Linked DNA regions of Elephas maximus indicus. The protein of the gene in region 4 interacts with the protein of the main gene of each other region in a pairwise test. Links are inferred from orthologs where the notes say so. Each region holds a gene or a part of one and is shown on either strand. Other genes may lie near its edges.

Evidence for each region.
Region 1: the proteins of TASOR2 (region 4) and NEK6 interact in binary tests that used the Homo sapiens proteins (3 or more experiments, as listed by UniProt). The link is inferred for Elephas maximus indicus from reciprocal best matches to the Homo sapiens genes TASOR2 and NEK6.
Region 2: the proteins of TASOR2 (region 4) and ERH interact in binary tests that used the Homo sapiens proteins (3 or more experiments, as listed by UniProt). The two-hybrid records come from large-scale screens. The link is inferred for Elephas maximus indicus from reciprocal best matches to the Homo sapiens genes TASOR2 and ERH.
Region 3: the proteins of TASOR2 (region 4) and KLHL40 interact in binary tests that used the Homo sapiens proteins (3 or more experiments, as listed by UniProt). The two-hybrid records come from large-scale screens. The link is inferred for Elephas maximus indicus from reciprocal best matches to the Homo sapiens genes TASOR2 and KLHL40.

What each region holds. Positions count from the first base shown.
Region 1 is NC_064827.1:75,293,635-75,301,522, forward strand, and holds the start of NEK6 (serine/threonine-protein kinase Nek6), read left to right. Parts: upstream 1-4,498; 5' UTR 4,499-4,645; intron 4,646-7,888. UniProt on the Homo sapiens protein: Protein kinase which plays an important role in mitotic cell cycle progression. Required for chromosome segregation at metaphase-anaphase transition, robust mitotic spindle formation and cytokinesis.
Region 2 is NC_064828.1:81,863,745-81,871,403, reverse strand, and holds the start of ERH (enhancer of rudimentary homolog), read left to right. Parts: upstream 1-4,258; 5' UTR 4,259-4,364; coding exon 4,365-4,367; intron 4,368-7,659. Other genes in the region: SLC39A9 (zinc transporter ZIP9), read right to left, coding at 3,099-3,190. UniProt on the Homo sapiens protein: May have a role in the cell cycle.
Region 3 is NC_064838.1:47,155,152-47,163,531, reverse strand, and holds the start of KLHL40 (kelch-like protein 40), read right to left. Parts: upstream 3,055-8,380; 5' UTR 3,018-3,054; coding exon 1,839-3,017; intron 867-1,838; coding exon 706-866; intron 347-705; coding exon 239-346; intron 92-238; coding exon 1-91. UniProt on the Homo sapiens protein: Substrate-specific adapter of a BCR (BTB-CUL3-RBX1) E3 ubiquitin ligase complex that acts as a key regulator of skeletal muscle development.
Region 4 is NC_064822.1:53,202,708-53,210,634, reverse strand, and holds the start of TASOR2 (protein TASOR 2), read left to right. Parts: upstream 1-4,470; 5' UTR 4,471-5,116; coding exon 5,117-5,177; intron 5,178-7,927.

The DNA.
Region 1 (7,888 bases), on a different chromosome or scaffold from region 4:
CCATTCAGGCCGTTGTTCTTCCTTGCCTCTGCAAAGTTTTGTTTTTCTTGTTTTGTATAAGTCCTTCAGGACAGGGGCCACTGCTGGAACTTCTGTTATCTCTCACAGTACTAGACCAGTACAATGCTAGATATGGTTTAAATGGGAAGATTTTGTAATGCTATGCAGTCATAAAAAAGGGAGGCACTCTTTATGAACTGATAGGAAATTGTCTTCAACAAGTGAAGAAAACACAAGTGGGTATATGCTACCATTTGTGCCAAAAATAAGAAAAGAAAAAAATATATATACGTATTTACATGAATGCATACCCACACAAAACACAGCTGTATGGCTGGGCACAGAGCTCATTGGCAACATTGGTTCCCTCCTGGAAAAGGAACCAGGTGTCTGGGGGTAGGGGTGGAAAGGAAATTTTTACCACGTACCCTTCTGTACCTGTTGAATTTTGAACCACGGGCAAGTATTATCTATTCAACAAAGAAATCAAATTAATATTGTAAAAAGTTAAAATAGCTAAATATGGTCAGTTCGATTTCCCAGGGTGCACCGGCAAATTAAAATCCTAGAAAGTCAAGGTTGGCAGGCTCTTAGATACCCACCCCCATTTTGCCAGTAGGGAAACTAGGCCCAGAGTCACACGGGGACGGAATGGCAGAGCTGAGGTTGGAGGGAGGGGGTGTCCCAAACTGTAGCCCTGACTCCTTCCAAGCCAGCAGCCGCCCAGTCCGGTCCACAAGCCAGCCAGGTTTGCTGCTAATGAAAATGTGACTGGAGCTTCAGAAACTCTTGTGGAGTCCTTGGCCAGATCCGCAGACATTAGGATGTGAAGGCAGGCCCAGCAGACAAGAGGCCCCAATTATGTCCTTGGTATCATGTCAAAAATGAATCCAGCATAGTGATTACGCAACGCTGTGAATGAACTAAATGCCACTGAATTATTCACTTTAAAATGATTCATTTTATGTCATGTGAATTTCATCTCAATAAAAAGACATGAATCCCCCAATTCAGTGCCCTTCAAAAACAACCGAAGTCTATCATCCAAACCAAGGCACTTTGAGAGTGAAAGATGGTGCCATTAATAATCACACCCAAACAACAAACAAAACAGACTTCCTGGGCTCTAGCCTCCCTACCAGAATCCTACCATCTGGAAGCTGGCAAAGAGACATTTTGAACTAAGTACCGTCAAAGGAACTTGACCTGATTCCTCTTCTTCATGTGTCCCCTCCTCCCCACAACTCTTTCCCCAAAATGCTGACAATAACATAGGTTTTGGGCAGACCCGGGTTCAAATCCTGTCTGTATTCAAACCACTTCTGAGTTTCCTTATCAATAAAACATAAATCATGACTCTGATCTCAAAGGGTAGCTGTGAGAATTAAATGTCTTGCACCTAACCGGGCACGGAGAAGGTCTCCGCAAGCTGGAGTTTTTCTTCCCCTCATGTAGAGAAATAGTGAAACGACGCAGGCTTAATTCTGAAACTCTTGGGGGGTGAACAGAGAGACCAGATTCACAAACACCCCCATGGGAGGAAGAGTCTGGGCACAGTGCGCAGGGGGACGTGGATTTCTAATTCTAGGAGTCATTTAGGGAAGCACCTCTATGCAGTGACTCATTCGGGGACTCACTAAAAAATCCTTTGAGTTAAAATCAAAAGTTGAGTGGGGCTCAGGTTGCCTTGTGCCGTTTCCCTCTACTCACACCCTGGCCTGGGTGGTGACAGTAGTGCAGGGATTTGGTGGGGAGTGGGGGAATCTTTGGGTGCAATTTAACCGTTTTTTTTTCCCCAAGTATACCACCAGGGGTTGGGACTGTCTGAGTGAAGGAAGTGGAGGCCAGAAGGAGGAAGGCCTGGATGACTTCCGTCCTCCTCCAAGTCCTACTGCTGTATCCTTCTGTCTCTAGAAGACTTTAGTGAACCCCCCACCTCCTCCCATTCCTCAATTAGAGTTTGAGGGCCAGTGGGAACAGTGCGGGGGGGGCAAGGCCTCCTCATTCCCCTAACATCAGCTCAGCTGCAGTCAGACTCATCTGCGCTGATTGCTGTCTCTATGACCTGGGATATAACACTTGACCTCTCTGAGCCTCAGTTTCCTCAACTGGAAAATGAGGGCATTGCAAGCACACATTACTGGGTCCCTGAGAGTCAGGGAAGGGTTTTGCAAATGGTAGAGGCTTATGCAGATCTGTGCGTGGGGCCGGGTCTTTCTCTTCTCAGTGGTCTAGTGCTGCTCCCAAAGTCTTCTAAGGGCTTGAGGTTCTTGCTCCATAGCTTACCAAGATGAGGCATGCATCCTTGGGGAGCGTGGGCCTACCTGACACACAGTAAGCCTGTGGCTGATTCTCTCACTTCTTTAGGCAGGCCTCTGTTCAGACGGCACCTCATCAATGAGGCTTGCTCCAAACAGCCTCTACGAAAAAGCCCTCCTGGGCTCTCCTAACCCTTCCCTGTTTTATTTTCTCTACCAACCTTATCTTCCTAAGATGCCAGATACTTATGGTTGTTTGTTTTCTCTCTCTCCCATCCCAGCCTGAAGCCCCAAGAGAGTCGGGGGTGTATTTTGTTCATTACTGTACATTACCTGGCCCATAGAAAATACTCACAGATATGTGTCAGGTGAATGAATGAATGAACTAATGTTTGCTGCATGACTATGACCAATATCATGGATCCTGCTAGTAGTACTGCAATATATTGCCCCAGAACTTCTGTTTCTTTCTATTACTTTTTTGCACTGCTTATTTCTTATACTTATGGCTCGGTGGGAAAATTCTGTCTTCCATGTGGTAGATCTGAGTTTGATGCCTGACCAACGCACCTCATGCGCAGCCACCAGCCGTCTGTCAGTGGAGGCTTGCGTCTTGCTATGACGCTGAACAGGTTTCAGTGGAGCTTTAAGACTAAGACAGACTAGGAAGAAAAGCCTGGCCATCTATTTCTGAAAATCAGCCAATGAAAATCCTATGGATTGCAACAGCCTGACCCACAGCCAATCCTGGGGATCGCACAGGAGTGGTCAACATTTTGTTTGGTTGTGCATGGGGTCACCACTAGTCAGGGCCTTATCCAATGGCAGGTAATAACAACAACATTTTCTTACCCTTAGCTCTTTGATTTATCTGACATTTTTTGTGGTATATATCACGTGAGGCGAGGCTATAAATGGAACTAAACAGCTAAACAATTTGCAGAATGATCCACTTCTTCCCTGTCAATTTGCGAAGTCTCTGTTTTTCATTGACGGGGAGCTGCGACTGTGCTGGCAACTCTGAGCCAGCTGCTGCACCGTCTGCAGCTTCTGCAGATCCCCAGCCCAGAACTATGTTGCTCATAAGGCAAGACTGCCCGGTGATCAGGCTCGCAGGCACTGGAATTAGGCAGCCTGCTGTCCACCCTCCAGCTCAACCACTTACCAGCGGTATGACTTTGAATAAGGGAATTCACTTTTCTAAGGTTCACTCTAAGTCTCATTTGCCCCATCTGTGAAATGGGCACAGTGGTAGCATAACCCCTTCACAGGGCAGCTGTGGGACTGAACAACACAATGCAGGCCAAGCGTGCAGTAAGGGGTCCAGCATACAGTGGATGCTTGGCTGGTGCTAATTATTGCCGTAGGTCATCCCCAGTGGAAGCATGCCCACTCGCTGGGCAGATGGAGGCCCAATGGACATCCACTCTGCTCAGCACAGTGCTGTGGCCAAGCTGAGTATCTGGCAGGCAGGGTTGGTCCCTGCTCTCAGCCATCCTGGGGGAAAGAGCCAGAGGTACGTGGAGAAGAGGCAGCAAGTGTGGTGAGAGGAACTATCCGACCCAGGAGAGTCCTCACCTTCACGGGGTTCCCCTAGTAAGGGAAGCAGGGAACTGAGTTTCTCCAACCTTTGGATCCCCATGGAGGCTGATCTCCTTGAAGGGAGTGTTGGGTATTCATTAGTGGGGTCTTTTACTTCTCAACTCTGCACACTGACTCTGTCTGGACCCGGGTCCACAGGAGGCCGGGAGCTCCAGCGGAGAAGACTTTTGTGCTTTAAGGGCAGGAAGCAGTCATCGTTGCACCACCTTATTCTTGGCTTTTTACTTCACTGCCTGCCTTCAGCTGGCACACAATAAGTTCTTGTGGCTTGCCCAATTTCAATATGACCAGTGCCGTGATGGGGAAAATGCTAGGTGATAGGGGACCCCAAGAAGCGCGTGGGAGGGGTTCATGGGTTGGCTGATTGCAGCCCCTCATCCTAAGTGCCTAGAAGATGCTGGGCCTGACTTGCTGTGTAAGCTTGCGCCTCAGTTTCCCCATCTGTGAAATGGGGGAGGGGGCCGGCTGAGTGGCTTATTCGCCATTCAGAAGGTCTGCTGGGGAGCCGAAGGGTCCAGGAGCAACGAAGGCGCTGCCCGGGCGCGCCCCCCCCACCCCCCTCAGCCTGCGTGGCGGCAGCGCGCGCGAGCACAGGGGGCGGCGCGGCCCCGCGGCGGGGAGGGGCGGGAGCGCGCGCTCGGGCCCGCGCAGGCAGCGGTGGCGGAACCGAGCGGACGAGAGTGTGGCCGCCGCGCGGCCAACTCGTGTGAGACCCGCCACTCCGGCTGGCCCGCAAGTCCGCGCGCGGGTCCTTCCGCCGGGCCGCCGATCCCGTCCGCGCGCCGGTGAGTGGCCTGGGCCTGGGCCGGGCTGGGTAGGGGTCGGGGAGGGGGCGGGGGCTGGGCCGCGGGGCCGTCACCCCACACCCGGGCCCAGGCGAGTGCGCGTGCACACGCGCGCGCCCGAGGCTCCGCGGGGAAGAGCCGGAGGGTGTGCATGCGTGAAGTTGGGGGTGCGCTTGTGAAAGTGAAAATCTGAGCGTGTCTGCGTCGGTACGCGTCCGAGCGTGTGAGGGCTGCGTGTGTCCCGCTGTCCTCAGTTCCTCAGTGTGTTCTCAGGAGTGTGTGCATGCCTGCGCCGGAGTTTGTGCGTGTGCACATCAGTTTCTGGGTTGTGATTTTTGGTGTGAATGAGTGCTGGAAAACGACCATCGCTCTCGTTTATCCACTTAGGGGATGTTTACTATGTGCCCAGGACTGTGCCAGGCTGTTCACTGTGATCTCATTTTTGTGACGTAGTATGTGTGGATCGTAGGGAGTATGTGTGTGTATGCACATGTATGAATGTGGTATTCACAAATGATTTGTGTGTGCATTTACGAGCCCGAGAAGACAAAAGTGTGCATATGTGGATGTGAGTGTGTGATTTGTGTACAGGAGTGTGTGGGTATGTTTATTATCAAGGGTGATGGTTCCTCTGGGCCCACCAGGTCTATATGTGTGATATGCCTGTTGCTGGCCCAGATGTCAGGGAGCCCGTGGAGAGAAGTTGACCTGGCGTGAGCATGGGGTGGGTGCCAGGGCCTCACTTGGTGAATGAGGGACCAGAGGACAGACTCCCAGAGCCCCATTGAGCCTGGGCAGAGGTCGAAGCCTCTTAGCCAGGCCTGGGCAGGACCACTGGCAGGATCCAGGACACACAGGCTGGGCAGGAGATGTGGTAGGCTGGCAGAGCCCTTTGGCCGGGCACCAGAGGATGTGTGCCTGGTTTTCTTAAAGACCCTTCTGGGTCTCCACTTTGTCTTGGCTCTCTCTGGCCTGGCTGGCTTTTAACCCTTTCCCAGGCCTGGAGGTTGACCCTGGTGAGTCCAGCAGTACTAAGACATTTGTCTGTGCCTATGGGATCTGTCTCTGCCTGTCCTGCTAAACAGATAGATATTTGTCTGATTGATATGTATGGCACCTGGGCTTCAAGCACAAGTCTCCAAGACAGTAACAAATTCATCACAGCAGGCTTGGGACACCATCTTCCAAGGTGTCTCTCCTTGGAGCTTTGAGTGACAGTGTTTTGTGCTTTATAAATGCTGAAAATCTTTGTAGTCCAAAGTCTTTATTGCTCTAAGGCAAACTTGAGAAACTCTGTGGATCCCCATTTCCTCTGCATTTTCAAAATTCAGCTTGCCTTTCTGAGGGGGAAAATGTCGTCTTAGAAGCTCGGCGTACGCGCAGGCAAACTTTGGAGGCACGTTTAAAAACCCCGTAGCTAATGGAAGAAGAATTTCATTGAAAGGGACACAGAGCCGGCTGGAAGCGCCTGCTCCCAACGCAGCAAGCTCACCAAGTGAACTTTGGACGTCTTCTTTTAGACAAACAAAACCTGGAAGGAAACAAAAAAGACCCACATTCTTTTGCTTTTTTGTCTGAAAAATGGAAAAAAAAAAAAGACACACACCTTCTGGGTTTGCTGGAAACGTGGCCTTCCCCTTCCCCCATCAAGGCCAGGCCCTCCCTCAATCCCCCACCCCCAAATAAAATACGCCTGGGGAGCTGTGGAATGAGTCACTCCCTGGCAGAGGGCCTCACGGGCAAACATTTGGGAAGGTTCTTGCCTAACTTCCCAGAAGAAAAGGCCCAGGATTTAAAATGGTCCCTGTGGTTTGTCAGCCTCTGCTGTCCCGTCTGCTTTGGAAATGACTAAAAAGAAGTTTCTATCTTTACAAAATAAAGTCTCACTATCCCAGGTTGGTTTGGGTTTGGGCTTAGGGCTGTTCAGGGTTCAAGAAATGTAGTTCCTGGCTTTGCCAGATGGGCATTTCGGTGGGTTTGAACACGAAAGGAGAGCAGGGAGAGGGGAAGGGGACTCACATTTGTGGAACACCTACCATGTGCCAGGAACCATCCTGGGTGCTGTTGTTAATCCTCCCTATAGTCTTATGCTGCAGAAAATGGCCTTTGGTTTTATGCATGAGGAAACTGAGGCTTGGAGAGATACACCCTGTATCCTGGGACAGCTGAAAGGAGGTGGAGGCAGACTCTCAAGCTGCCTGCCTGACCCTGCAGCCTGTCCTCTGTCCATTGCACCAGGGATGTGACATTTGACTTCCTCAGATGTATAGACTCGGTGCTGAGTGCTTTACACACATCCACTCATTGCATTCTCACCTTGAGGTAAGGGCTATCTCCATTTTACAGATGAGAAAACTGAGGCTCAGAGAGATGAAACGACTTGCATAATTTTGTCAAAGTAGCACTGCAACTAATGGCCATCATTTATTGAGGGCATACTGTGTGCCAGGCACCAGATTAAGAACTTTAAGTGCCTTATTTCATTCAGTCCACTAACCAACACTATGAAATGGAAACTGTCATGATTACCATTTTACAGATGAGAAAAGTGGGGTACCAAGCCAAAAAAAACCAAAGCTGTCGCCACTGAGTCGATTTTAACTCATAGTAGATTTTGACTCATAGCGACCCTATAGGGCAAAGTAGAACTGCTTCATACAGTTTCTAAGGAGCGCCTAGAGGATTCAAACTGCCGACCCTTTGATTAGCAGCCATAGCTCTTAACCACTACGCCCCCAGGGTTTCCAACTGGGGTACAGAGAGATTAAATAACGTGTTGAAGATCACGCGCTAATATGCAGTAGTTTTGAACCTAGGCCTGTCTGAGCAGAGCCCATAGTCTTCCTGCTGTACCTGGAAAGTAACTGTCACTACATACTGTGTGTCTGGCCTGATACTAAGGTCCAGTATTGCTACCTTGATTTTATAGAGGGGAAGACGAAGACTCAGGAAGGTTAAGGAACTTGGGTTGGGTCATAAGCTGGTAAGTGGCAAAGTCAGGATTCAAACCCACATCTCTTACGTTAGAGTTGAGGTTCGTAACCTCAAACCAGGTCTGGCTATCTTTGTTGAGCTTTTTGCCTCTTGAATGCTGAAAAGCCAAGTGGGTTGAGGCACTCCAGGTTCCTGCAGGTTCCTGCCCTGGCTTGGCTCTGGCCTTCTGGGAAAGGTCTTTCTGAAGGCACCACTGTCCTTCCTTGTCCCTCTTGTACCTGTGGTGTGGATAAGCAATGCCCAGGGCCA
Region 2 (7,659 bases), on a different chromosome or scaffold from region 4:
GATGACAAGATAGGGGGGAAAAGGAGCTGGTTGAATGGACACTGGGAATACAGGGTGGAGAAGAGGAGTGTGCTGTCTCACTAGCGGGAAAGCAACTAGGAGTACATAGCAAGGTGTATAAGTTTTTGTATGAGAGACTGACTTGTAAACTTTCACTTAAGGCACAATAAAAAAAAAAAGTTTACAGTGAAAAAAAGGCATACTTTTTCATGTAAGCAAAAGTGAACTATAAAACACATTAGGTTTACTTTCACCTAAAGCACAATTTAAAAAAATACATTACGTTTACTTGGTCTTATTTATAAAAACATTGGTCCAAGAAAAACTGTTGTCATTAGCAATTGTTAGTTGTTTTCAAGTTGGCTCCGACTCATGGCAACCCCATGTATAAGAGAACAAACATTGCCCAGTCCTGTGCCATCTTCACGATTGTTGGTATACTCGAGTCCATTGCTGTGGCCACTGTGTATTTTGAGTGCCTTCCAATCTAAGATGCTCATCTTCCTGCACTATACTGAGCAATATTTTCTAGTGGTCAGTAGGATTTTTATCAGCTAATTTTCAGAAGTAGATTGCCAGCCCTTTCTTCCTAGTCTGTCTTTGTCTGGAAGCTCTGCTGAAACCTGTCCACTATGGGTGACCCTACTGGTATCTGAAATACTGGCAGCATAGTTTCTAGCATCACGGCAATATGCAAGCCACCAGAGTATGACATAAACTGGCAGATGGGTGGTGGAAGAAAAGCTACACTTCCTTAAAAAGGCTAGGTAGGAGTTCGGGGAATTATTTCCTAAGGATAGAAATTCTGCTTCCGAATCCTCCTGAATTAAGTTTATTTTTACAAATTTATCATCTCACTAGTCACAATACATTGGTCTATTATAGTAGTACAATTTGCCTAGAAAAAGGTGCTTAGTTCTGGGAGACAGAAAACACCTGCTGAATTCTAAAATGTCTCTAAGTTACTAATGTTCATTTTTATTCTAACAGCTCAAAATGCATTGCTCCTGTCATGCTAATAAACAGATATTATGAATGCTGATGAACAACATTTTAAGACCCACAACTGAAAAAGACCATTTCACTATCAATTAAAAAGAAAAGAAAAAACCAAACCTGTTGCCATCGAGTCGATTCCGACTCATAGCGACCCTATAGAACAGAGCAGAACTGTCCCATAGAGTTTCCAAGGAGTGCCTGGTAGATTCAAACTGCTGACCTGTTGGTTAGCAGCCATAGCACTTAACCACTACGCCACCAGGGTTTCCACCATCAATTTAGAAAGCCATAAATGACATGGCACACTAGTTATCTTTATCAACTGCCCGGCTAGTAATAGCACTCATGTAGACATTTCCTCCCAGTGAAGAATAGCATATACTTGCATATTTTAATGTTCAAGAAAATACTGAAATTTGAAGAGTTCTAGGCATTTCGTAGAAATAAAAAGTTTTAACATTTGCTTATTTACATTATAATTCTTGATAAATGTTACCTACACGTTTTTAAATACACAAACCACCCCAAATCTCACAAATGTCAGCCCTAATAGTATCAACTCAATGCTAAAGAAGTTTATAACAAAATATGGCTTAAGTCAGAAACAAGCTAGCAGGCTCATAGGGCAGGCAAATAACTAAAATAAGAGAAGTAGGCTTCACAGACCAAGGAGGATCTTGACCATCAGCTGCTACTCAGCTCTAGCCAACTGCTGCCTTGAGGGAATACAGGCAAAAAATAATAATAATAAAATTAAACACTCTGCTAACCTAATAAAGCAAGTCTGTAAGCTGGATTTGGTACATGGCTACCTGTTTGCTACCTTTGCTACAATGTGCAGGGTGGTTAAGAATTAATCTGAGTCAGAGAAAACTACATTTAGAGAACAGCTCTAACACGCTGCATGAGTTTAGGTCTAAGTTATAAAACCTATCTAAACCAGTTTCCTCATATATGCCTCACTAAGTTTTTAAAATGAAGTTAGCTTTGCATGTACTCAAAAAAGTTAATTAACATTAGGTGCTAAGAGGTAAGACACAAAAAGAAACAGGGTAGGAGAAAGTGCAGTTCAAGCCTCCTTTCCATCTGGCTGTGGGCTTTACTGTCCCTCAAACTCATAATGCCTAGTCCCACTTTCTTTCCCACCCACAGGCTATTTTCTTCACCAGCGATGCCTCCTCTTCCCTCAGGTTTCTTCAAGGCCTAACTCACACCTGGTCCTTACCTTTCCTTTCTACTTCAGGCCAAACCACTCTCCCCTTTCCTTTGCACTTTCAGGAGGGTAGGGAAGCGAGGGCCTATTTTATTGCTAAACCCCAGGAAATTATCATAAAATCCTGGTACCTGTGACTCTAGTAGTTTTTTCCCCTAAATCTTTGAGCACTGTGCACTTTGTGAATTCTCCATGACAACTGAAACAACCTATCTGCATTTTCACTGAACACTACCCTTCTCTTCCCCTCTGATTATTTGCTTAAAGAATGACAAATAACCAAATTACCCAAAATGTCAAAACATATTAACAAAAAAACCATTTCTAAGGAAAGAGATTTGAAAACTTAACTTTGGAATAACCATTCCAACATTCTGCTTCTTTAAAAAGAAATTTGAGTTAACGACAATATAGGTTTTTTTTTTTTAATCTTACACTTGTTCTAGTACCGGTGTCCAAAAAACTAGCTTTACCAAAAAAAATTATGCTTGACTTTATCAAAAAGAAAAATTACACCGATTTCAACTCATATTTCTTGATAGCAATCTGGAACCTTAATTCCTTGGAAACTCTGGGAATCAATTAAGTTATGGTGCCTCTCTCAGGAAAATGCAGAGCCCTCAAATTTTTGTCTACAATTTCATGAGGACCCCCAGGTTCAGAATACCCCAGATTTCTGGTGGATCCACCCATCCCACGTTAAAAACTCTAGTGCTGAATGAGATTTGTTTCCACTATTAAACGTTAGGTATCTTTTTTAAAAGACAGTCTTCCTTCATGAAATCCCTCAGCTCTGAGATTAACTTGGGAAGCTGCTTCCCTTCATAACTGTCATTACTTCCCAGCAGCCAACCTGAGAGCTGACAGAATATTGGTTATTTCTTACCTCTGAGAAATTAACAGCCAAAGGAATGATTCCAGCCACGTAACATCCCACCAACATAGCGAGGGACAGCATACTAATGGAGATGAAATCATCCATTCTGCCCTCCTTTATTCACCCACCACCACCAGACAGACTATGAATTTTCAGTGGCTTCAAAAGTTGCTTAGGTTCTCAAGCACGCGCGGTGATTCCAAGAGAATAGGCGGGCTCTCCAGTTCTTTCGGCCTCCCCACCAGCAGATCTGTTCTCGAGGTACCTCTGGAAACCCCTTTTTGCTGATAATAGCACCAGAGAGAACTTTCAGCAACCTTAGGTCCCAGCCTCTGGGTTCCCAGGTGCCAGACACTGGATTCCCGTGAGTTAACAGAAATGGGAAAAGTCAACGGGGAAAATATGAGAATGAACGACTTCTTCAATCGTCGGAATGAGAGTGGCACAAGGAGTCCACTCCCCCCACAGACAATGTCCCAGATGGCAGCAGGAAGAGGAGGAAAACCCAAGAGAACCTGTTCGTCTCCCGGCCCCCCGTACCCCTGAGGCAGCCCAACGGTGATCCCCCCAGGGCTGGGACCAGCCCACCAATCCCGGCAAACTCCCCTCCAAGTCTTGTATGGGGAAAGGAGTCCTGCAGGTCTCTAACACGACGGATCCGAAAGGTTCAGCAGCGAAGCTGATACAAAGCTGTCTCTGCCCTATACCCGCTGCTGCCCATGACACTCCACTCCTCCGAGTCTTGACCCGAAGACACCGATACTACAGCTGCCATGGCCGCCAAGTGGCAACTCTTCATTACATCCACTTCCGGATTGCCCCACCGGTTCCCCCCCCCGAAAGGCATTTCCGGGTTACAACCGACCTATGGCCCGGTATACTTATACGGCCGCCATTTTTTAGTAAAAATATTAGTAAGGCCACTGAAAAGGACTTGTTCCCGTCTATACTGGTGATCACTCTGGCCGAATGTCTAACAACCAGAGTACGGAAGACGGCGTCTTAAAAAAAAAAAAAAAAAGGACCCTTTCTCAAGCTACGAAACATTCCGCGATGTATCTAAGTCGCCCTTATCCAACATGGCTGAAACAGAGTCGGTATCTGCTCTAGCTACCGGAAATATGTACGCCTCTATGGTCCAAAAGGCTCTTTCCGGTTGCGATTTTGACGAGTTCCGGCGGCTCCTCTCGCGGGGATTGGCTGTTGGCGGCGTTGTGGCTCAGCTCGTGTGCGGTGGTGGTATCTACAGCGGCTGCAGCGAAAGAGTTTGGCACGATGGTGAGAAAGGCCTCCCCGGCTACCCGAGCCCCCACCCTTCCTGGCCCCTCCAGCCCCGTACATCTTCCATCCACCCCAGTCCAGAGCGAGCGTGTTGCTCCCCGCCTCTCCAGCGCGTGGGTCGACCCTTTTGCTTCCCGCCACGGAGTCGCCGGGCCTTGCTCTAGGCCCCGAACCCTGGGCCAGCTCTAGGGTTGCGCGCCGGACCACTGGCTCGGAAGAGGCGCGCCGTGCGTCTAAGGATGCCCTTACTCCCGCCAGCTGCTTGGTAGAGGGAGGCGTAGGGATGGTGCCCTTTCCCTCCAAACGCTCTACCCTGGTGTAGGAACAATGGCCGAGGGATGTCTATCAAACCTATCCGAAGCTGACATTCCACTTCCTGCACTCGCGTGGGGCCTGGAGGGGTCGTGTTTGCTTTGTGGCGAGTTTTCTCAACTATTCCCCTTTTGCTTTTCCGTGTTTTGTCGTTCTCCCCTTAGGTTTTTACCCTTTTCTAATACATCTAGGTGTCCCACTTGTTTCCCTCAACCCTACCCAGTTGAGAAACCAAACCCATTGCCTTGAAGTCGATTTTGACTCATAGCGATCCTATAGGACAGAGTAGAACTGCCCCATAGGGTTTCCAAGGCTGTGTAAGTCTTTACCGAAGCACACTGCCACATCTCCCGCTTGAGCTGCTGGTTTAGTTTGAACTTTAAGGGTTAGTAGTCGAGCGCTGAACTACTTGCACCGCCTGTTGTTACCCTTGTTTATATTCTGATGGGACTGGAGTCTGAAAAGGTAGGCTTACCCGAGGTTCCAGGTACTTAGAATCTGGCTGGGGTGGTAGTGGAATGGGTGTTTTTTTTTGTTTTTTTTTTTTAGATCATCAGAAGAGGGATGCCTACAGGGCGTCTGGTTGCTGGTTTTGTAACTACCAGTGCAGTTATTGCTAACGATGAACTATGCCTAGTTGCACTTTTTGAATTGAGATTTTTCAGTGCTGACTCAATCTAGTCTCCCAAAAAGGACAAGGAATCAGAAGACTGTTTCCAGTTTCTGTTTTGCCATAACTAGCTTTGTGACTTTGGGCTTGTCATTTTACTCGTGTAAGTTTCCTTCTTCTTTGGTTGTATGTCCCCTCTTTGGTATTGTGTTAAAATTCAGCGATCAAAGTCTGAGACAGTTACAGCAATTAACATCAACAACTCATTCTTGAATAAATGTTAGTAATATTTCGTCATCAGCTTTGAGTAGAATTAAAAGTTAGAATTTATAATTAAAGTGGATAATTATTGGTTTGAACACCGTAAGTACTAGAAGGTGCAAGCTTCGATTTATTTTTGTTTTTTGTAGTTTGGGAAAATACTGGATGCCAGTGAACAGATCATAGGTATTATAATATTGCAACAGTCAACAGCAGAATGACTGTTCTCCTGTTTGTGAGACTTCTAAAAAGTAAACAAAGTCAGATTATTTATCAGAGTGAATCACAACTGCTTGGTAATCTCTCAGGATAAAGGATTTTATTAAGAAATTATGCATAATTTTTTTCACATTTTGGTTTGTCACAACTGGTTTTTCCTATTATAAATAGAAAAAAATATATATTTATTGTACTGGCCATTCCCCCAGGAAAGACTGTAAGGAATGCATGGACCAAATCTGCCCAGAAGTAAGCGGGGGGCGGCGGAGGGGGGGGGAACTGACAAGACATATGTTTATATTTACTAAAATAAAACAAAAGGGTTCTGAAAAGAACAATAAGAAGAAAGTGACCAAAACCACTTTGGGAGATATTATGATCTTTAAAAATTGCTAACAGGAAAGCACTGCCACTTAAAAATGATAATTTAGTTATGTCGCATATTTAGTAGTTTTAATCCATGTCTTTGGGTAATAAATACTGAAATAATAAGCTTTGCCTAGAGCCTTATTTTAAGACTAGATATAAAAAGAAGCATATTATGTAGCCATTTCCGTATGTTACCCTTTCAAATAGTCATTTAATTTGCATTAGCATAAGAATTAATATAATAGCAACTGATATAGCTACTGTACGGAACCCTGGTGGTTTGGTGGTTGAGAACTTGGCTGCTAACCAAAAGGTCGACAGTTCAAATCCACCAGCTGCTCCTTGGAAACCCTGTAGGGCAGTTCTGTTCTGTCCTATAGGGTCACTATGAGTCGGAATCAACTCCATGGCAACAGGTTTTTATAGCTACAGGGCAAACCTTATTGCAGGAATGCTAATGTGATTTCTATAAAATTATTTTTTTCTTAACAAATGACTCACTGAAACTGCTTTATGGGGGGTTGATGGCTGATGATAATGTCTACATAACAGGTAATCTAGTATAATGCTTTATCTGGCTTTAAGTCTAATCACTTTAACAAAGGCTTTGTATACAGGTCTGCATAGGTGAGGTCAATTACTCTTAATCTCTTGTCACCAAGTTCTCATTTGATCTCAAATCCTCTCAAACTTTTTATCAGCATAATTCAGTTTTAGATTGGGAGAGGGAGTATAATAACCCTTTGCTACACATATTATGTTTAAAGTACTGTTTTCCAGTTGCTTATTCAGAAAGTCTGGATATCAGCTATTTTACCTCCAATTTGTTTGCCATTAAAAATTCTGATCATTTCAAAACAGTTTGAAAGTCCTATCATTATAAATGAGTTTTTGTTTTGTCCAAAAATACTAGCTAGTACAGCAAAAGAAGAGAATGATTTGGAATTGGGTTTACAGTGGAGTTGCGTCATACTTGCATTTAATTTGTCAGTCTTATACACTTGGCAAAGATTGGGTAGGGGAATATTTCAATAGACCAGTGATTCTCAGCCAGGTGCAGTTTTGCCCCCCAAGGGACATCCGGCAATGTCTAGAGACATTTTTGGTTGTCACAAGTTGTCTGGGGAATGCTACTGGCGTCTAGTGAATGCTACTGGCGTCTAGTGAGTAGAGGCCGGGGATGCTGCTGAAGATCACACAGTGCGCAGGACAACCGCCCACAACAAGGAACTGTTCAGCCAAAAATGTCAGTAATACTAAGGTTGAGAAATTTCAAAATAGACCCACTAACAAAAAATGCCACCACCCCTGCCCCTCAGTGAGCATAAGATGGAAGAGTGAGTTGGGAAGAAAATATAGGAAAAAAAAAAAAAAGCAGTACAAAGTAGCTTATGCTGAATACTTACAGGCAGTAACTGCAATAGGATTTTGAGAAAAAAGCAGTCATTAAGGACTGGGGGTACTAAGGAAGACCTTAGGAGTTGCAGATCCAGCTTCTGATGCCATGTATGGGCAAAG
Region 3 (8,380 bases), on a different chromosome or scaffold from region 4:
CCCAAAGAGTGAGCGGGCAGTCTGCATGGGTGCCAGCTCCTTCCACTCGAACTTCTTGGGGTCATAGACGCACATCTTGTTCAGGCACTTCCTGTGGGAGGGGAGGAGGCAGTGAGTGAGTGGATGGAAGGGGAACAGAGCCGCCCCTCCCTCGGCCCAGTCACCCCTCCCTCCCAGCGCAGCCAGTCAAGCCGTGACAGCTCGGGGAGATTCTGTTTCTGCTCCGCCCGAACCTCACCTGTCGCTGCCTTTGCCACCAATGACGTAGACAAGGTCCATATGAGAGAGCACCGCGTGGCCGTACACGGCATAAGGCAGCGGGTCCGACTCGCCCCATTTGAACGACCTGGAGAAGACGGGAGAGGATGGAGTTGGGGCGAGCGCTCGGCTCAGACCGTGCGCTCAGAATCCGTCTCTCCTTTCATCCACCCATCCAACACATATTCCAGGTGCGTCCAATGCACTACAGGAAGTCCCCAGACCTCTCAGTTCCTCGCTCCAACCCCACCCCACCCCACCACCCAGGGCCATGGCCCCGCCCCCGCCCCAACCCCTGGGCGCTGGCTTCCCAGCCCCCACCCCCCCGTGTAGGACCAGCCCCCGGCCTCTGGTCTCCCGCCGACCTCCGCTTCTCGGCCCCAGGGCCCCGGCCCCGCCCCCAGCCCGCTCCCCGGCGGGTCCCCAGCCCGCCCCGCCCGCGCTCACAGCCGGTCGTAGCACATGACCGAGTCCAGGCTGAGCTCGCCCTCCTTTAGCTCTCGGCCGCCGACCACGTAGATGGAGTTGAGAGCCTCTCCCAGGCCGAAGAGGCAGCGCGGCAAGGGCAGCGGCGGCATCCCGAGCCACTCGGAGTCCAAGTGATCAAACTGTGGGCCGGGCCGGGCGTCCAATCAGCTACCGCCCTCACCACTCCAGCCCCAGCCCAGTCCCGCCTGCCACTCCGGGTCACAAAGGAGATCGGGACTTCAGGGAGGGCCAGCGCAGCCTGGAGGTGTCCTCCTCGCCACACAGTACCCCTCTTCCACTCCAGGCTAAGAGCAGGTGAGGCCTTCCTGGGGTGTGTGATGAGGTAGGTGCCCAGGGACCACCATTATAGCGATGTGATGGGGGCACCACAAGGTGGAGCTGAGGAGGGGGCTCTGGGACCCAGCTGTGGGCTGCGCCCTGGCACCGAGCTGCCCCTCCCCCCTCGAGCACCTGCGCAGGCCTCACTGAGCACACCACTCACCAGAGTCCTCATTGTTGTCTGTTCCTTGCTCACACCATCTCCCCTTTACCTGTCCTTCAGAAACACCACCATCCTCTCCATGTCTCTAAATTCCACCCAACTGACAAGGCTCAAACTGGTCTCCAGGAAACCATCCCAGCGCTCTGAGATTCCACAGTCACACCCCAACTTGAACTGGGCACTCTACTGGCCCTTCCTTTCCCCATCTGTACAATGGGAGGACTAAACAGGATGGTCCCTTTGGGACATCCTGTGTTCCAGGCTCCAGACCTAGGTCTCATGCAGACACTCTACCCAGGACCCCTGCGCTGGCCCTGCTCCCCCTCACTGTGCCTGACCCCAACCCATGTGCAGGGCCAGGGCCTCCAACCAGACGATCCCGGGGCTCACATCCTCCTGAAACCCTGACACCCAAAATAGTGCAGCTCAGTCAGCTGCTTCGGGCTCTCCCCAACCTTGAGGCAAGTAGCTGTCAGTCTCCCTGGTCTACATCTTATCCTAGAACCAGTGACATTCCCTGACAAGTAGACACAGTCCTCTCTTGGCGCCCAAGGCTGCCTCAGTGCCCAGATCCTGGCCCTGGCTGCCCCCTCCCAGGGCTGCCTGGCACCTGCAGAAAGTATGCGCTCATGGGGTCCTCTTTGCTGTCCTCGTTGTAGAAGATACCTCCGGCCACAAAGATCTGGTTCTCCTTGGTGACGAGGCTGACATGGTTCTTGGGGATCTGGGTGGAGAGGGAGGTACAGTAGCATTCGTTGGCGGCCGGGTCGTAGGCCACGGCGCCCTCCTCGCTGATCATAAATATGAGGTCCTGCAGGAACATGCCGAAGCGCAGGGTGTCGTTGAGGATCCCGGGGAGGATACGTTCGCCCTCCTCCTCGTCCTCCTTCTCGGCCTCGGGCTCGGCCTTGGCCTTGCCTATGCCCTTATCAGTCGCCTTGGCTCCGGCTCCCTCCTTCTCTTTCTTCTCCTTCTTCTTCTTGCGGAGCACGGTAATTCGGCCCTCGTGCGCATCCTTCACCATCTGCAACTTGCGCAGCAGTTCCGGCTGGGCGCGAACCAGCGGGTGGCGTTCCACGCGGCTTTCCAAGAAGGAGCGCGGGAGCAGGCGGCAGCGCACGCTCTCGAAGACGGTGGGCAGCGCGCGCTGGCGCTCAGCCTGAGTCTCCGCGTCGCCGCCGCCGGCCCACCGCATCACTGCCTCGAATACCGCTTCCTCCTTCTCCACGTTGAGGCCATCGCTGGAAATTATGGCGATGAGCTCGTCCGCCGAGAGGCCGAGGAAGTCGGCGTCGCGCGCCACGAGCGCGAAGCGGGCGCAGATGAAGTCGCGGGCGGCCACGGCGAGGCGCGCGCAGTCGAGCAGGAGGCCTAGGCGGAAGACTGCCAGGCAGTTGGCAAGACACAGGCGCTTCTGCAGGAAGGACACGCAGATGGTGAAGATGGACGGGATCTGGAAACGGTGCGCCGCGGCGAACAGCTCCTGCACACTCGCCTCGTCCAGCGCGATCTCCGACGTGTACAGGTAGTGCAGCACCTGGGCCATCACGTCGGGGGACACTTCTTCCAGGCGCAGCTCGCCCGAGGTCTCGGGCTCGGCCAGGAAGCGCGCCCGGAAGTAGGGGCTGCAGGCGGCCAGCACCAAGCGGTGGCACGGGAATTCGCGCTCGCCCGCCCGCACCACACAGTCCAGGAACTTGCCGTGGTCCAGCATGTCCTTGAGCCCGTCCTGCAGGAGTGTCTGCTGGTACAAGCGCTGTTCCTCGAACTGCTCCAGGCCCAGCGCCATGGTGGGTAGCCTAGGGTATGGCGACTGGGACGCGGGACTTCGGTGCTCCCCTGCCCTCCTACTGAGGCACTCTGGGTCTGCGCAGCTGTCTTCGATGGGCTATATATAGAGGCGGCCTAGGCCTGTAAGGCGAGTAGTCTGGCCTCCTGCGGATGACGTGGAGGGGACAGCTGGCCAGAGGCCCTCTCCCCCAGCAGCCTTGACTCAGTCCAGGGGACTCATGGGATGGGGTGGGGGTGGGGGTGGGGGTGGGGTGATGGTGGAGAGCGTCTGGACCCTCCACGCAAAGATGAGGGCCTCGCTGCTACATTTCTGAATAGAACGCAGTGAGGCCTTGACTCTGGATTCCTTAGTTGGGCAATACCCCTGGGTGGGATGGCGAGGGGAGGGACGGCAAGCTCTGACTTTCAGCTGAGGGAGGGGGAAGCATTGGAGCCCCTCTTCCAGGGTCTCTTTTCTTTCATGCCTTTCGGGCCTTTCTTCCTCTCTCTAGTTTATCCCATTCCAGCCACTTCTGGATACTGCTGTGAACTTGGCTATAGCATTCACCCTGTGGCGGCCTTGTTGCCCCCACCTTTAAAATGGGGAGAACTTTCCCCTTTCTGCCCCAGCTCTGAGCCCCTCCTCGAACTGCAAGGAACTATCTTAGGTAAACAAGGTCACCACTTTCCTGTGGGGTCTGGGGCAGGTCAGGTCTCCCTGTTGAGCCTCAGTTTCCCCTCATACACAATGAGGAGATGGGGAGTTGAGCTCTAAGGCCTCAGTTGGGCACTGCTGAGGTTCAGAAGCTCCGAGGTGTTGTGTTCCTGGGAGTATACGCTAACATTTTAAGGTGAGGGACATGCTAAAATATTGATTTCCTAGGATTCTAATATTCCAGGTGTTTCAAGCCCCCGAGTTTTAACATTCTAGGGGAGTGACATTCTGGATTCTAATGTTAAAAAAGTAACCTTCTTAAAAGTTTAATATTTGTAATATTCCAGGACTTTAGCTGTCTGTCCTCACTGGTCTTGGCTATACTGGGCATGGCCTGAGCCTGCCTGGGGAAGGGCCCTATGCCCAGTACAGAGAAGTTGGCACAGCCCTGCTTGGCCTCAGGGCCCTTGCTACGGTCTGAGGGGTCTGGGTTGAGACCCTGGACAGCCAGTCCTAGTCCCTACCCTGCCCTGGACTCCTGACACCCCCACCCCCCACACACACATCAGCCTCAGCCACCAAGATTAACTTGTTCCCCAAGTGCCAGAGGCTGCAGCTGCGGGTTAAATTTAGCCCCTGGGGCACCGGTGTGAACTGCTGTGAAGCACTCCCCCATCATTCCTGAGTCATTTGTTTATAGCCCCAGGCTTGGGGGGAGGGGGCTGGGGGAGAATGTAGGGCTGGGTCAGGACTGAGTCACCTCCCCTTTTGTGATCTCAGGATATCACTGCCTGTCCCTCCTTATCAGTTTCTTCACCTGTCGCTAGCTTACCCCACCAACAGGTCCCAAGGGGGCACAGCACCTGGGCAGGCCTTGGAGGTGTTCCTGACGATCTTGCCAAAGGGGCAAGGGCTCGCTCAGGAAGGGCAGGGGGTGAGCTCCCAGGTCAGCTCTGTGCCATCCCAGACTGCAGACATTTCCAGCAAGCACATCAGTGAAGAAACTAGGCTCTGAGAGGCTCAGCAATCTGGCCAAGTCACATAGCTGGCAAGTGGCTGAGCCAGGATTCAAACCAGGTCTGCCCACCTCCAAAACCATGGGAATCCTTCCCTACCTTGCTAAAATACTCACTATGAATTAACTAACCAATGTGTGTATGTATTGTATTCTCGTTTTACAAAGGCCAGGACAAAAGGTACTAACAATTAGTTTATATTTATCAAATGACTCAGCAAGGTATTTTTAGATTGTGATGAATCCCGTAGTGCTCACTCCCTACCAGGCATGCCACTAGAATATTTATATGTTGCTCATTCATTCATCGAGAACCTACTGTGCGCTGTTGTCAATGCTGGGGATTCAGCAGTGAACAAATCAGGCAGGAATTCCTAACTTCATGGAGCTTACGTTCTGGGGAAGGGGAGGAGACAGCAACAAATAAATAGTTATACAGGACGTCAGATGATAACTACTGTGGAGACAGGGAAGAGGGCATGGAAAGTGACAGGTATAGGATAGTAACAGTTTTAAATGGAATAGTCAGGATGGACTCACTGAGAAGGTCACCTTTAGGCAGGTTCAAGCCATGGGAGAGGAGGATTCCAGGCAGGGGGGAAGGGCATAAGCAAAGACCCTGAGGCAAGAGAGTGCCTGTCCTGTTCAGGGAACTGCAAGGAGCCCAGAGGGCTGCAGCAGTGAATGAGATAAGCAGGAGAAGATGAGGGCAGAGAGGTGAGTCTGGGGAATCATGTAGGGCCATGTGGGCCAGTGGAAGGACTTTGGTTTCTCCCCTGAATGAAACAGGGAGCCATTGTTTGTTTGCTTTAACTTTTTATTATGGAAAATTCAAACATACAGAAGTAGAGAGAGTAATGCGATGACCTTTGATGTACCCATCACCCACATCATCAAGTCAGGGCAAATCTTATTTCCTCTCTACCCCCACCCACTCTATTCATCACCCAGGGGAGATGCGCATAGGTACCCAGCTTTGTTGTTTTTGTTAGGTGCTGTCAAGTCCATTCTAGCTCATAGCAACTTTATGTATAACAGAACGAAATGTTGTTTGGTCTGTGCCAACCTCATAATAGGCGATATGTTCAAGCACGTTGTTGCAGCCACTGTCTCAATCCATCTTATTGAGGGTCTCCCTTGTTTTTGCTGGTCCTCTGCTTTACCAAGCATGATATCCCTCTCCAGCAGTTGGTCCCTTCTGATGGTATGTCCTAAGTAAATGAGACAAAATCTCACCATCCTTACTTCTAAGGAGCATCCTGGTTGTATTTCTTTTAAGAGTGATTTGTTCATTCTTCTGGCAGCCCATGGAATATTCAGTATTCTTTGTCAACATCACAGCTCAAATGCGTCAGTTCTTCTTCCGTCTTCTTTTGTTCCTTGTCCAGCTTTATTGCAGTACAATTGGCATGCAATAAACTGCATGTATTTAAAATGTACAGTTTGTTAAGTTTTGACATATGTATACACCCATGAAGTCACCACCACAATCAAGATAGAGAACATATCCATTATACATAAAAGTTTCCTTGTGCTCTTTTTTTTATCCTTCTCCACATCCCTCCCCGCCACCCCCTTCATCCAAGACAATCACTGATCTGCTTTCCATCACTATAATTTGTTTGCATTTTCTACTGTTTTATATAAACAGAATCATACACTGTGTACTCTCTTTTTTTTGGTCTGGCTTCTTTCACTCAACATAGTTATTTAAGCTTCATCCAGATCGTCTACTCATATTTTTAACTGATAGTTTCTGCCTTCATTAGGAGTCTTATCACATGGAAAGGGTCATTTAAGAGAAATACCATGCGAGGTTTTAGAGACAACTTGCACTCACCTTGCCGGGCTCAGGGAACACCTTACTGATGTACCAAGAAACCCAATAAAGTCCGCATCCCTCTTGCATGAGCAGGCCCCACTCTGGTGGAGAACCAGCATGCCAGCAAAGATGTAGGGTCTGGGCTATGACCTGGCCATTGAGTATTTACTTAAGTAGTCCTATTATATGTCCATATGTGGGAGACTGTTGTCACACTTGGAGGCCTCCAACATCTCTCAAATGGCCTTCCTATGTTTGGGGCAGTTCCTATATCAGTAGTGCCATTTCCCCAAGGTAAAAACCAGAGCTTTTTTTCCCAGCTTCCCTTGAAGCTGGAGACACAGACGTATGACTGAACTCCACCAATCCTGTTCAGTGATCCCAGACTTCAATTCAGAAGTGGAAGCAGGAGCATGTAGAATCTGTTTTGGTGAGACTGGCTGAGGGACAGCACTGTTAGAACCTCTGGAGTCCACTCCCCACTGTCCACTGTATGAGCTCCCTGGATTGAAGGGAGTCCCTCTGACATCACCAGGCAAGCCGAGCACCACCAGTAAAGGGAACTGACCAAGAGCTCTGCTAACAGTAAGTGACCAGGTGAAGTGTTCTTCTTCCACACCAGGTCTGAGACTCTCCTCCCCGACCAAAAGGCATTGGGTGGTCTGGCCTGGCCTGGTAACTCCCTCAAATAGCACCACCAGGGACTAGTGGAAGCCCCAGTGGCACCAGATAAAGCAAGCAGATGAAAATAACACTGCAGAGACTCTGAAAATTAAGTTGTCATTGGAATCACGGCCCACAAATGTAGGCTGCATGCTAAACCTCATCAGGGTGACTGCCTGCTAAAATGAAAGATTCAAAGTCTCATAACATAATGGACAAAATGTCTAGGATACAAAAAAAAATTACTGATCAAGAACCAGTAAAATCATAACTTGAATGAGGAAGGACAACCAACTGATGCCAACACCAAGATTAATCAGATGTTGGAATTATCTGGCAAGGATTTTAAAGAAGCTGACATAAAAATGCTTCAACAAGCAATTACAAATTCTTTTAAAACAAAAAATCTCAGCAAAGAAACAGAAGTTATAAAAAAGAATCAAATGGAAATAATCCAAACCCATTGCCATCGAGTCGATTCCAACTCATAGTGACCCTATAGGACAGAGTAGAACTGTCCCATAGGGTTTCCAAGGAGTGGCTGGTGGATTCAAACTGCCAACTTTTTTGGTTAGCAGCCGAGCTCCTAACTACTGGGCCACCAGGGCTCCAATGGAAATAATAGAACTGAAAAATACAGTAACAAAAACTCACTGGGTGGCCTCAATAGTAGAGTGGAGATGACAGAGAATAGAATCAGTGAACCTGAGGACAAATCAACAAAATTTCCCCCATCTGAACAACAGAGCAACAAATAGACTGAAGAATAAGAAGAAGAAGAAAAAAAAAAAGCCTTGAAGACTCATGGGGTAATAACAATAGACCCAATGTTTGTATCATTGGAGTCCCAGAAAGAGAGAAGAAAGAGAATGGAGCTGAAAGAATAATTGAAGAAATAATGGCTGAAAACATCCCAAATTTGGTGAAAGACACAAACGTATGGATTCAAGAAGTTGAGTGAGCCCCAAACAGTATAAACCTAAAGAAATCCATGCTAAGGCACATCATAATTAAACTTCTGAAAACTAAAGACAAATTAAGAAAAAAAAAATCTTGAAAACAGCCAGAGAGAAATAATACATTACCAATAAGGAAGCAGCAATTCAAATAACAGCAGATTTCTCATCTGAAACCATGGAGGCCAGAAGGAAGTGGCTCAATGTTTTTCAAGTGCTGAAAGAAAAACTGTCAACCACCAATTCTACATCAACAAAACTGCCTTTCAGG
Region 4 (7,927 bases):
CTCTGGCTCCAGGTAATGCTGGGCCCTCCCCCACAGAGCTAGCCTCATGCCTAGCCCCCAATCATATTAAGAAGTGTTCATATTCACTCCAGGACACAGGAAGAACCAGCTGTTTGCCCCCCAAGTCATGTCAAGGAGCAGCTGTGTAAGCTGCCCTCCCCCCATCATGTACACACACACACACACACACACACACACAGGCTCTGGTCGTGAAATTGAAATGTGAGTGTTCCCGAGACCCCTATACACTGCAAACTTGTTCCTGGTGCTCTTGGTGGCTATGCCCAACGTGCAGCACGCTGGCCTGGCTCTTCACCTCCCGTGTCCACACAGTAATCTTGTGCCCTTTGGTGCAAATGTTGACGACAGCCCCACATGCCTCCTTCTATGTTCCTCAAAGCTCTCCCGTATCAGACACAACAGTGTCTCCAGAGAAGGTCCAGCTCGCTGTGGCGCTGGTGCTTGGCGAGGCTGACCAGCAAGTGGCCACCCTGCTTAATCCTGATGCTTAATCCACATGGGATGGATGCCATCCTTGAACAGAGTGTAGTTGCAACCAGTAGAGTTTACTGGCCAGCTGGATGTGACTGTACGTCTCCCAAAAGTCCTCCACAGTGTCAAACTTGGTGACCAGATGCAAGACCTGGCTGAAGTCATTCTTAAAGAGCCACAGAGCCTACCTGTTCTGCAGGGTGTGCAATTCCAGCTCCACCTCCACTGCCTCCATGGGGCCTTCATCATGGGCCTTACTCCTCAGAGGGAGCAAAGCTGTGGAGGAATTCAGAGCCCCCTTCTCCTCTTCTACCAACACCCCCACTGCTGCCTTCTCCTTTTCCTCCTCTTTTCCTTTCTCCCACTTTGGGATTCTACTTTCAGCCTCTGTCCCAGCAGCAGCTCTCCACTATTCCTCTCTGCCATTAGGCAGCTAACTGGGCCAGCTCACAGCCAGTATAGCAGCTTGCTCAGCTCTCATAGCTGCTCTCTCACATTAGGCCTCTCCTGCATCAGCCCTCTCTGCTACTAACTGGCTTAGCTCACAGCCAATGTAGCAGCTTCAGGATCATTTAGCTCCCCTGTGGTTCTGCTTCTCTACCAGCCCAGCACTTACCCAACATCTCTTTCTCAACTGGGCGGCTGCTAAAACTTACCTATTTTAGCTGTTCGTATATCCCACTCCCCCTTAGTTACAAGGCAGGGCCTCCCTCACCAGACCAGAATTCAACCAAAGGTCAGTCACCCATGAGATGTCAATCAACTCAGGTCTTGTTAATTACCAGATAAAAGTCTCAAAGCATTAAGTTGTTTACAGCTTACCCAGGAAGTGTCAATCAACCTGGGGAATCCCCTGAACAAAAGTAACAAACCCTCTGGGGTAATCAACAACCTGGGAGTAGCACTCCTTTCCCCCAGGCTGTTTCTCCAAAGAACTAGGGCAAAAATAACAATTTCTGAGGGTTTAGGGGAAAATCTCCCAAACTCTTTTGCCAAAGAATCAAGGCAAAAAGCCACTCAAAGGATTGCACCACAGAGGGGGGCAGGAATAAATATGTACTCAAATAAAACCCCCAACTATTATACCCAGCGTGCCTGCCTTCTACTCCTAGGTATACACCAAACAAAAATGAGTATACATGTGCACCAGAAGAGAAGTAAGTACATTCATAGTGAAGTCATCAACTAATAAATAGGTTCTTGTCAAGCAGACAAGAGAATTAAAGCCAGCCAGATGCAGAGTTGGAAGGACAGAAAGATTTATTCGCAGTTTGCAAACTGGGAGACAGGCAGGGTCTTGTGACCTAAGGCTGCCAGCTCCCCCAACTAGGGTAGATTTGCACCTTTTATAGGGAGTGACATACATATGCATGGACAGCAAGGGGAGGATCTTCAGTCTTGCGATAGGAAGATGCACATGAAGTCCGCAAGTGTCGGATGCCTAATTCTTGTTGTGTGGTCCTAAAATGGTGATTTGCTTGCTACTGTCACCTCTGGAAGGTCACATAGCCAGCAAATTCATAATACGCCTGGGCCTCAGCCTCGCACTAGGAAAAGAGAAGAGACCTGGGGATTCGACCAATCAGGTTGAAGTGCTGTAGCAAAAATGTAGCAAGAGTAGGCTTTCTGAAAAACAACTATTATGGGATGGTTAATGACCTTCTCATGACCACCTGGTTCAATAGCAGCATTATTCTTAATAGCCAAGACTAGGAACAATCCAGATGTTCATGAACCATACGGTGGATTAAAAAAAAGTGCTACGGAGGTGAGATGAGATGGCAGAAAGTGATAGGAGCTGGTTGAATGGGCATGGTAAATCTGAGGTGGAAAAGAGTGTGCTGTCACAGTATAGGAATAGCAACTAGGGTCACATAACAATGTGTGCATAAATTTTTGTATAAGAAACTAATGTGAGTTGTAAACTTTCACCTAAAACACAATAAAAAAAAAATAAAAAGAAAATGTGCTATATCCACACCTACTTATATTGCAATGAAAATGAAAAAACACACAAAACATGATGAATCTCATATAGTATTTCTCCAAAGTAATCAGACACAAAGCAATTCATATAAAATTCAAAACACAAGCAAAATTAAACTATGAAAGTTTAGGGATGCATACTTCAATGGCAACTCTGTAAAGAAAAATAAAAAAGATTATCTTGGAAGTTAGAATAGCGGTTATCTTTAGTGGTAGAGAAGGGGGTAGTGATTGAGAGAAAAGGGGAGACTTTGGGATACTAGCATGCTCTATTTCTTGACTGAGGTGGTGTTTTCATGAATGTTTGCTTTGTGATAAACTGTACATTCTGATTTTGTGCACTTTTTTTATTTTATGGTTTATTCCCTGCTTCTCCAGCCAGACCTCTTCAGTTCTTGAGCATGCTTAACTTCACTTCTCAGGGCCTTTGCACTTCCTTTACCTTCCACTTGTCAAGCTCTTCCTCCAGATCTTCCAAAACCAAACCCACTGCCCAAGTCGATTCCAACTCATAGCGACCAGATCTTCCAAGGACAGGTTGATGCAGTTTGTGTCATTCAGGTTTGACTTCAAAAAAAAATTTTTTTTTTGTTTGACTTCAAATGTACCTTATTCAGCTCTGCCTCTTCTGTCCCTGGCCTCCAGCTTCTGCCCCCATTCTCCAGCATTTCCAGTTTGTTTTCATAGAACATATCCTTATCTGAAATTATATTTTGTTGCTGTTTACCTGCTTGGCCTTCAGCTCTAGAGTAAGTTCCCTTACACGCAAGGACCTTGTCGATCTTGTCCTCATATGTAATCCTGGTGCCTAAGACAATAACCTGGCACACGGCTTCAACTGAATGAATCTCTTCCTATTTCCATTGCACCGCACAGTGCCTGGCTCAGGGTATCTGTAGCACTTTATACTTCTCATTGGTATTTATCACAGATAAGGAGAGAGCTGAGTTAATGTTATTTATGGTCATCTTGGAAACCCTGGTGGTGTAGTGGTTAAGTGCTAGGGCTGCTAACCAAAGGGTCGGCAGTTCCAATCCCCCAGCCGCTCAATGGAAACTCTATGGGGCAGTTCTACTCTGTCCTATAGGGTTGCTATGAATCGGAGTTGACTGGACAGCACCGGGTTTGGTTTTGATTTGGTAGGGTCATTTTGGAAACCCTGGTGGCATAGTGGCTAAGTGCTACAGCTGCCAACCGAAGGTTAGCAGTTCAAGTCCACCACGCACTCCTTGGAAACTCCATGAGGCAGTTCTACTCTGTCCTAGATGGTTGCTATGAGTCGGAATTGACTAGATGGCACTGGGTTTAGTTTTTGGTTTTGGTTTATGGTCATCTTGAGCTCTGGTGGTACAGTGGTTAAGAGCTATAGCGAGCTGCAGCTGCTAAACCAAAAGGTCCACTGTTCCAATCTACCAGCAGCTTCTTGGAAACCCTATGGGGCTGTTCTACTCTGTCCTGTAGGGTCCCTATGAGTTGGAACCAACTCAACAAGTTTGGTTTGGTTTGGGTTATGGTCATCTTAGTTCCCTCTGTATAGATCATAACCTTCTAGAGGCGTTTTCCTAGGGAACTAGCACATCCACAAATGTTACATGTGTTCAACACCTGTTAAATTGAAACAAGGATGATATTTGGGAATTAACACATTTTGGCAAGGAAAAAAACAAGCGTCGCGGCAGTTGCGCTGGGAGACCCTTAAAGGAGCCAACACCCACGTCTGTGGTAAAAACCAGCGCCACCGATAGCCCGCGTAGGCACTCCACAGGACGCGTACAGGGTCTTCCCGCCCGCGCCTGCTGCATCTGGCGGTGCGCCAGCCAGGAAAGCCAATCATTGGGCCCCGCTAGCCCCTCGCGCCTGCGCAGAGGGAAGAGGCAAGTGCCGCGTGTACGCCGAACGCGACCCGCGCCTGCGCTTCGGTATCTGCTCTGTGATTCGTTCCTACCTCTAAGGATGATGTTATAGTTCAGTTTTCACTTTCTCTTTTATTTTTCTCATTTTCCTTCGGCCGCGAGGTTTTACTTCCGGTTGCTTGCGATCGTGTGTAAGAAAGTCGACATGTTACCTCAGGCCGTGTAGCGTCACGGGGTTCTTGCTTTTCTATGGCCTTTTCGGGGAAGAATTGGAGGCTTTGCTGAAAAGCGCGGGGGACCTGACGGCTTCGAGTCTCGTCCTTGACCCACCGTTCCTCCGTCCTTTGAGCACCTTAGAGCGGCGTCGATTCGAGAGCGACACAGAGTGGCTCAGGCGCCGCCGCCGAAACCGGGACTCGGGGCTTCCCACTCTCCTAAGTCGTCCCCGCTTTTACTCGTAGTCATCTCCTCCCCGCGTTCTTGGCAGAACGACAGAGAGAAAAGATTGGCTGTATTGCAGGCGAGCTGCAACGTGAATAGGCTTGGGTTCTTTTGAGGTAGAATTTTGGAGAGCTTTTGAAAACTTGGGGTTGAGATCGCCTATTGGAAATTCAGGAGAAGGGGAATATACAGAAGCTACTGGAGGTTTTTATTACAAAGAGGAAGAAAGACGTCACTTTAAAAAAATATATAATTCGAAAATATATGTTATATGTGTCACATTTGGCCAGGAGGGACCGAGAGAAAGGAAGCACGTGTGAAAGGAGCAGACAAAATCTAAAAGCATGGGAAAGAAATCGAACAATTCTCTGAAGTCTTCAGGGGCGGCGGCAGCACAAAGTACAGGTAAAACTTCATCGGTTTTGGGGCGCGCTGTTTTGTGCGCCTGTGTAGACGATTGGAAGGAAGGCAAAGCTCCAGTCTTCTAAGGCTAAATGCATGATATAGCTGCTTGGGACTTTTGTAGTTGCTGTTGGTGGCTTTGCTGTTACACTTTTTAAAATTATGATTGGTTTTGCATGTTTTTCTTGGATGACTGATGAACGCGTTGATGCATGTTTGCCCCAGGGCTTCTAGCCAGCTGCTCTGTTTGGACCCCCTGCTAAGAATTTGCATTTCCACCCCAGATGTACTGAATCACAATCTATCTTTGAACAAGATCCCCCAAATTATTTTTATGTATGGTAAGTCCAGTGGTTCTCAATTTATCATGCATAAGAATTACGTGGGTGTCTTGTTAAAATGTAGATTGTGATTCAGTGTATCGGGTGGAAAGGCAGATTCTCAGCTGCCAGCCCAACCGGAAGGAATCGGTTGAAGCCCTGAGCTGGAGTGAGAGGGGTTGCTGTTTTTCTGGAATCATCTCTCCTTTTTGAATAACTCGGTCTTTTGCAACCTGTCGGCATTCTCAGCGCTGCAAACGTAGATCTAAATTGTTTCTAGGAAGTCACCATTTTACTAGTTCGTATAGGGCTTCAAGGAACCCTGGTGGTGCAGTGGTTAAAGCGCTCCGCTGCTAACGGAGAGGTCGGGAGTTCAGATCCACCAGCCGCTGCAGAAAGATGTGGCAGTGGGCTTTCCTAAAGATTAAAAAAGCAACTAGACCAAATCTGTTGGGGTCCTATGGCACTCCTATAGGGCAGACTAGAACTGCCCCACAGGGTTTCCAAGGAGTGGCAGATGGATTCGAACTGCCAGCCTTTTGGTTAGCAGCCAAGCTCTTAACCGTTGGGCCACTAGGGTTCTCCATAAAGATCATAGCTTTGGAAACCCGTGGGACACAGCCCTTCTCTGTCCTGAAGGGTCGCTTTGAGTCGCAATCGACTTGATGGCAACCGGTTTATAGGGCTTCAATGTTCGTCGTTCTTCACGGTTTTGAGAGCAAAAGCGTAGAACAGTTGAAGCATTTGTTTTGAGTTACTCGTCAGAGGACAGCTTCATCCTCATGGGTGTTATGGCTATGTTTTAAATAGTTGGCAGATATTACTCACTTAGTTTGGACTCGCTAGAAAGTAATTTTATACGGTTTCTTTCTTTTTTTTTTAGAGCATACGCAGCAAAACTTTCACCAATTCAATTTCTACTTGTATTTTTCGGTGATATTGATCACACTCTGCACCTACAGGGTCTTTGTGAAAGTCTGGTGCTCAGGTTTCTTTCTGAAGAGACTTCAGGGCAGTGCTTGACCTATTTTTTCAGTAGATGTAAAAGAAAGAGGTCTATCTGCATGGAAGATTATTAAACAAAAAAATTGGGTAATGCACAAGGAATGTCATAATGTTGGCCTGTGCAACTCAGCATTTTGTCTGAAGGTGGCACTAAACAGCATTTTGTGGGAAAACGTGGCATGTTAACCTCATAATTTGAGGAAGATATTTTAAAAGTCCTCAGATTTCTCTTAATCACCACTTTATTTGTAATCTGTAGATTTAGGTAAGCTTTTCTTACCCTTCTTAATTCTCCCTGTAAGATAAAATTAGAATGATAAACTTTTTGAAAAATATCGTACCAAGTATATAACGTTATTGTGGTTTACCATTTAGTGACCTGAGGGCCCATGGTGTTCCAGAAGGATTAAAATGGAAAAAGGGGAGGATCGTGGTATTTAATATTACAGGATGTGAGGCTGGCTGTAACCCTGCCCACCAGGTTTGTAACAAAGCTAAGACAGGCCAGAGAAGAAATAAAAAGTGAAAATATGTTTGTCCACAATTATTTTAAGAAAAAGACAGTGTTTGAAAGGTTGTATTTTCTATTTCTGTAGAATTGATTTCTTATGAGAATGTGGGATAATATGCTTTTGAATTTCCCTCAGATGATTGTACCGTTTTATATTCACTCTCTCAAAAAGGTGTGTTTCTGTCTCCCTGCTAGCCAGCACTGTATGTTAACAATATATGTATTTTTATATTTTGTCAATTTTGTAACTGAAAAGACTATCTCATTTAAATTTTATATGATCCTTAATAAGAAAGTTGAACATTCTGCTGCTTCATACCCTTTGCTCATTTTTTATTGTGTTCTGAACATACTTCTCTGACTCATTTAGGTATTACCATACTGTTTTAATTATTGTAGCTTTATAATATATTTTGGTACTTTGTTTTTAAAAAAGTTGTGGGTTTTCCTTTTCCATTTTCTCTTGCAGATGAAATTTAGAGTCATCTTTTTACAAAACAGTCTATAGAAAATTTCATTAGGGTATAGTTTGTGATCGCATTGAATTTGCAGATTAATTTGAGAAGAGAGGTCCTTTGGAGTTTTTCTTTCTGGGGAATAGGTGTATCTCTACCTGTTTTTTCTCTTAGAATTTTTGTTGTGAAATATGCCATTGAGATGCCCAGTTTAAAAAAAAAAAAAAAATCTGTGTATCCTACTTAGTAAAACCCAGTCACCCAGTGCTGTCGAGTCAAGCATCACAAGTTCTTTAGAAGCCCTTTGTGTGCCTCTTGAAACAAAGCATTTCCCACCGCTATTGCTTTGGTCATCTTGGATTTTATCTTAATTATTGTCTTGCTTTTCTTTATACTTTTATCAGCTATATGTGTGACTTTAACCAACACATTGTTTACATTTGCCTGTTTTTGAGCTTTATT